2 linked regions of the Schizosaccharomyces pombe genome follow. Each later gene encodes a partner of the first gene's protein in a complex. Each region holds a gene or a part of one and is shown in the gene's direction. Other genes may lie near its edges.

Region 1 (3,536 bases):
CATTTGGAAAGAGTTGAAAAAATTGCAAGTGAATGGGACCCGGAAGGGCTTAGAGTTTGCTTTTGGGATGCTGTTAATTGTGATGATCCTGATGGCCTTCTACTTCGTTTCCTTCGTGCTCGAAAATGGAACGTTGAGGCTGCGTTGGAAATGTTCATGAAAACCGTTCACTGGAGAAGTAGAGAGATGAATGTTGGTGAAATTGTATGTAACGCTGACCACCTTGATAAAGATGATGATTTTGTGCGTCAACTAAGAATCGGAAAGTGTTTTATATTCGGTGAAGATAAACACAATCGTCCAGTTTGTTATATTCGCGCACGTCTTCATAAAGTTGGTGATGTCTCACCCGAATCGGTTGAGCGACTCACAGTTTGGGTCATGGAAACTGCTCGTTTAATTCTCAAACCTCCTATTGAAACTGCTACTGTTGTTTTTGATATGACTGATTTCAGTATGTCCAATATGGACTATGGGCCATTGAAATTCATGATCAAGTGTTTTGAAGCACACTATCCCGAATGTCTGGGTGAATGTATTGTACACAAAGCGCCTTGGCTTTTCCAAGGCGTTTGGTCCATCATCAAATCTTGGCTTGATCCAGTGGTTGTCTCAAAGGTTAAATTCACTCGTAATTATCGTGATTTGCAACAATATATAAATCCTGACAATATTTTAAAAGAATTCGGTGGGCCTAATCCATGGAGATATACATATCCAGAACCCTGTCAAAACGAAGCAGAAGCTCTGAAGAATGTTGAAGCTCGTAAGAGTCTTAGAGCAAAAAAGGATGCAATTGCTAAACAGTACGAGGAAGTTACAATGGATTGGATTTTGAACAATGGTGACATGGCAGAAGTGAAACAAAAACGTCGTAAGTTAGCTTCACAACTTATTGATGCATACTGGAACTTGGATAAATACATCCGCGCACGCTCAGTTTACGACCGCATGGGCCTAATTGCTCCTCAAACTTCCCATACTTTGCTTCTTTCTCAACCTACAAATGGAGATGTCAAAGAATCAATGGTAGAAGTTACTAGCTCGGCAACTTAGTCGGTCGTAACTTTCAATATTCCTGCTATTTTACATTGTAATCCTTCCCCTTGCCTATACTCCCGTATACTGACTAATTGTACTTTCCCGTGTTATTCTAAATAAGATGCTGGCTCAAAATATGATTGTATCATCTATTAATGCATAACTTTCAAGATCTTTTATATCAATTAGTTACATATGAAATCTCTTTCCTACGTTGATTTTTACACCCCTTTTCGTTTTACCATTTCCTTATCGCTTTAATTTTTTAGCACTCTCTTTAATGCACTTAAAATCATCTAGAAAGGGATAACTTTTTTTAGGTCTTATGGCTTTTCATTGAAGTTGTTGGTCGCAATACTTATCCATCCATTTTGTCTTTATTAGAATCAATGATCAGTTTTATTTGCAAATTAACTTAGATTTCTTGCTATTTATTATTATTTTTTATTTTATTGTAGGAAAGCGGTTCGAAATTAAAAAAAACAACAAGCTGAACACCTAAATGCCTACTCCAAAATATAGTATTAATTTAATGAGTATGCACCTTCGCTGAAGTATATTCCGTGCCGTAAAAATACTTTCGAGTTTAAACACGCGTGAGGTTCAAGCACCGATTAAATTTATTTAAAACAAGAGCGTTTTATTTTATTTTAATTGTTCTTAGTGAATCACTTAATCTTAGGCTCCTGTTTGACAGTTGTTTAAAACTTACAAATTTTTGGAGGTTATGATAGAAATCCTCTTTATTCGCGAATGCACGACGACTTCTTTTACACATCCACCATAAATTCCTGCAACTCGTAGAAAGTTTTGTTGAACCAAATGCGATCATCCTTAAAGCCAGTGCTATCAAATTTGAGGTTCAACTCAACAATTGCATCCGAATCACTTCGGTTTCATGTTTCACGTACACCTTCAAAAAATCTCCCAGTCTATCTAGACTACAAACAACGAGGAACGAAAATTCTGACTTTAATTCGTAAAATCCATGGTGATTCTAATGTAAGTATACATATTCCGTCAGCAGTAATCTCTTGGCTAAAGAAAGTACAAGTAAAGTCACTATGCTGCGGAAATTGTTCTATCAACTTTTTGCTTTAACGGCCAACCCAAGTTTATTTTAACTTCTTTTATTCGTTCTCTTTTTTTTTTCTAACAATATTTTATCAATAGGCTTTGCGGCTCAGGCTCATTTCCACACTTAAAATGTCACCGAAAGATGTTTATGTAAACAAGTTAACAAATCAAGTTGTCCTAAAGGGAAATCACATAGTCACAGTTCGTGAATGGTTACAAGACCAAGGTTTTTAAGTTCCTAGAATTTTTCCTTTTTTAGATTGTTACTATGTATGTACGTATCCTTCTTTCAAAGGAATGATAAAGTTGCTTTTTATCAACATAAAACTCTCGAGCATATATATCAATTTGGCTTTTTAGCATATTACTTTTACTTCATCTCCTTGTTACAGCGGTGATAATGTCAAATAAAACACAGCTGTTGCAAATAATTAATCTCGATTCATTTCTTCTCATCATACGTGGTTTTCAAACTTGACAATGGAAAAAATGCATCTTTTGTGATGGTTTTCCTTAACTACCTTTAAATAAATAGTTATTCGAGCTTCAGTAGAAACATTCAAGAGGTACTTGCGTAAAAAGAAATTCAAACATCTGCTTAATGTGAGGCGTCCAAATGCTAAATACAATCTTTTTTTTGCTACCTATTCGTTTGTTTTGTTGAATTTATAAACGCTTAAAGGAAATTATAATATATATATCGAAACTCCGGTGTTTTTATTTTTTGACTGTAGTTATAGACAGAATACGTTTAAGGCTATTAGGGTATATAACTAAATTAAAAATTCTTTTCTCAATATTGTATAGTTTGTAAATTGACAAATATTAAATGCTATATCGAAAACATACCTTCAAACATAATCTATATATCTGCGTCATACGCCCATGGACTGTTCTTTACCTTTCCCTTCACACATACTTATAATCCTGAAATCTCAACGACTTTTTCATTATTTTTGAATTGAACTTGGATTTGTCTGTGATAGGAATATTTTGACAAACATTTTTAGCTTTTAAAATTTTTGCTTTGTTCTGAAGACGTTGATTTACAATTTGCTTATGAATTAATTATTCACGAGAAGAAAATTCCTTGTAGTTTATCCCTTTTTTATTGGTGATTATAAGCTGAATAACTCTTAATGTTGGGAATTATATTTTCTTTAGTGAACTGAGGCTTTCTCGAAAAATACTTACGGTTATCCATGATTTAATGATTTTCTGTTTTTTTTGTTATTTTTTTTTCGTTTATCAAAAAGTGGTTAAGCATTGACACGATATAAGGCACTTTATTTCCGTGTTGAATTTTTTGTTTTGTTTTTTCTTGACATTAATACCTTACTTTCCTTGAATGCGAACAAACCGCATTCATTTGTATTCGATTATCGAAAGCCTTTTATTCCTTTTCTTTTTCTTTTTTA
Region 2 (3,180 bases), on another chromosome or scaffold:
TCTTAGTCAGCATGGACTGGTAAGCTTTTAACTGTGACGAGTCTAGTATATACTCGCCAGGACCGAACGGCTCAAGAGCATTTACGATTTTTTGAGAGTTATTTTTTAAGATAGAATTTATGCGTATCCTAGGATTATTTTGTATGTGTTTAGCAGTCTCCTGATTACTTTTACAGTGTACCAAGTAATCCTTCATCGGGAATGTGCTAGCAGAAAGCCTCTGTAATGAACGAAGAACATGCTTGTAAGCTTCCCAATAGCCTGAAGTAGCTTCGATCATAACATATTCTTCTCGAGGATCTAAAGAGATACTAATATCTTCAAATTTGACATCTATTTCATGAGGATGTTTATTAAGGCCACTCAAGGGCCGCGCACAGACAGTTCCAATGCGAAAAGTCTGGAAATCATCATTGCTTAATAAAACTAAAGATCCACTGATAAGACGACGACTGGTAGCCCATTTTATTTTTTTCTTAGCGCGAACACTGAAGGATAATTTTGCAGCTATAACACTGGAAGATATTGTATAGCCATCTATCCGCACATGATCATATACGGCTAACGAAGAGCCGGTAATGTAATTGGGGTTTACCTTGTACCGAAGCACACTTTCTCGTAATGGGGAAACTGCGTCCTCACGTAGCAACCGATAGTGTATAGATAAGTAATCTTCAAAGGACTTGTATCCTCCGTATATGTTGTTTGAAGGTAATTCAACACTCTTTGACGTCAATTCTTCCAACGTTGGAATTGATGGTAGTTCCCGCCAAGAAGAAGTATCGCTTGCGGGATGGTGTTCGTTTTCGAATTCTCTATTTTTTCCCGATGTTATATCATTTCTCTTTACATTACTCAATTCATAATCGTTGTCAATGCTTCTCTTACGACGTATTGACTTGTTTTCTTTTAAATTTTTATCAACTTTGTTCCCCTCCGAGTCTTGGGTTTTGGAGGTTTCAGAAGTCTCGATTTGTTCTGTGAAACTCGTAGTATTATTATCGGCGTTAAAGATGTTGCTATACAATGGGTGTCTTTTCATTTCACTTAAAGTTTCTGGCTCGGGGATTTCATCAAACACAACTTCTGTATTTTTGTTCACCATTTCCCAGGCGTCCAGCGTACTTAACTTCCAAATTTCATCTTGTACTTGTTCCATAATAAAAAAGAAAAGGATAATATCCAAAAAATTTCAAAAGGTTATTGTACTAAAATATCTCAGTACGCGCCCACTAGGTCGTAATATTAATCTCGTCCTCCCCAAAGAAGCTAAAAGATATCATAAATAACAATTCATGTACAGTCTCTGCACCTGTCTCTAATATTATTTGTCTAACATACAAATGGGTTGTTTGTTTACTGCCAAGGGCCGTTTTCTGTCTTTACGTGACCATGCATTTAACGCGTTCAGATAATACCCGCAATGTGCAGCTTAGTGTGCCAGCATAAAGCATGTAAGCATGTGTTAACATCGTTGTAAAGTTACCTTATCGTAGTTTATCCATCCTTGAAATAGATTTACAAACTGAGTAGCTTGCATAGTGATAGTGAGCTCTCTCATTTAAGATTTTTATAACTGTATAAGGAGGGAAATGCTAACTGACCTATAACATAGTACAGTTAGCAATTCGTTAGGTTGCAATTCCTATTAGTACCACCTTGGCATGTAATATTTACCTGGTTTTGTTACAACATTGAGAAAGCGCATTTGCTCAAATTAGTCGAAAACGTTGACTTCTATGTGTGGAAGGAATATTTGGGAAAAAATTTTTAAGATTTAATTATGAAATACATTAATCAATTTATGAAAATATCAAAGGGCTTTTTAGTTCCATCGTCCACGATAGGATTGAATTCTAAAACGTACCATTACAAATTTCCATTACTTTCTTTTGTTAGAGAATTTTCAAATGGATCCTACTTAAGGGAGTCTGCACAAAATCCTGCAAATTTGGGTTCGCAAAAAGGGTCCGACATTTTCTCAATGCTTGCTAACCAGAAGGACGATTCTAATCGTCAGCAAAAGGAAGAGCGTGTAAAAGAGAGACCAAGGTCACGTATTTCTTTCAAAAAACAGGAGACCATGGATCCTTCCTACACCTTACAATCAATGGTGCTTCGCTCCTCTTTAAAGAAAGTCGGCGCTTTGTGTCGTCAAATTGCCCATAAGCCATTTTATCATGCTTTACTTCAAATGAAAATGTCAGATAAAAAAATTTCCAAGTACATCGCAACTGCTTTGGTTTCTGCTCGAGAAAACGCTGTTCGTGAAGCTGGTCTTGATGAGAGTACTCTCTACGTTGATCAAATATGGGTTGGAAAGGCAAAGTATTTAAAGAAACTTATCACTATGGGCCGTGGAGGTCGTGCCATTGAGAGATCTCCACGGGTTCGAGTTACTGTTGTTTTAAGAGATGAGCGAGCTCTCTTGCGCGATTTACAGCGTCGTCAACAAAGACTAGAAAGAAAGAAAGTTTGGACGCCTCTGCCTAACCGACCAATATACCTAAAATCTAACTTTTTCACTTGCTAAGTCATTATTGAGATGCCCATATCTTTGATACTCTAATAATATTTCCCCCCAATATCGTTTATAGTAATTCTAGTGCCGTTTTTTTTTTATGAGAATATGGTTTCCCTTATTATTTATTTCTTTAGCAACGCCATAATTTTGTATTTACCTCTATGGTGCTGATGGTATCAGTAGAAAAATAGTACTGTAAAAAGGTAAACTAACCAACCTGTACATACATCACTTTTAGTTCAATGATACGTTTTCGTAAAGAACGCAATTCTTTTTAAACTGTCTAATCTTATTAAATCATTCATGCAATCGTTTGCCTCATTAACATTTTTCAAATTTGGTTTGAAGCATTGCAACGAGCTTCTTTTTTTGACTTTTCAAAACGTGCTTTGGACCATATGTTGAAGCTATCCATATCTCTTCACCATTTTGACACATATTTATTGGTTCTAAATTCATCAGACACTTTTAAACAATCAAGCAAACCGAGTATAAAATATCATTAATTCCCCAATTATTAGGTGTAAAGGTACGCTGGATCCGCATTTTAACTCATTTGCAGTAGCAAATGATCAGTAGGAAAAAAAAGGAAACAAACCGCATCAAATAGACAGTAATTCTTTTTAATGGGCCATAATGAAAAAATAAGTTGAGAT

Evidence for each region. The genes of interacting proteins can lie anywhere in the genome.
Region 2: img2 (region 1) and mrpl22 share a complex: the UniProt entries of both Schizosaccharomyces pombe proteins name them as parts of the mitochondrial large ribosomal subunit.

The regions. Positions count from the first base shown.
Region 1 is NC_003424.3:589,204-592,739, forward strand, and holds img2 (mitochondrial 54S ribosomal protein mL49), read left to right. Parts: upstream 1-1,863; coding exon 1,864-2,043; exon of another isoform or gene 2,044-2,214; coding exon 2,215-2,352; 3' UTR 2,353-2,949; downstream 2,950-3,536. Other genes in the region: csr102 (sec14 cytosolic factor family phosphatidylinositol transporter), read left to right, coding at 1-1,056. UniProt on the Schizosaccharomyces pombe protein: Component of the mitochondrial ribosome (mitoribosome), a dedicated translation machinery responsible for the synthesis of mitochondrial genome-encoded proteins, including at least some of the essential transmembrane subunits of the mitochondrial respiratory chain.
Region 2 is NC_003421.2:2,027,634-2,030,813, reverse strand, and holds mrpl22 (mitochondrial 54S ribosomal protein uL22m), read left to right. Parts: upstream 1-1,679; 5' UTR 1,680-1,783; coding exon 1,784-2,533; 3' UTR 2,534-2,640; downstream 2,641-3,180. Other genes in the region: helicase Hrr1, read right to left, coding at 1-1,159. UniProt on the Schizosaccharomyces pombe protein: Component of the mitochondrial ribosome (mitoribosome), a dedicated translation machinery responsible for the synthesis of mitochondrial genome-encoded proteins, including at least some of the essential transmembrane subunits of the mitochondrial respiratory chain.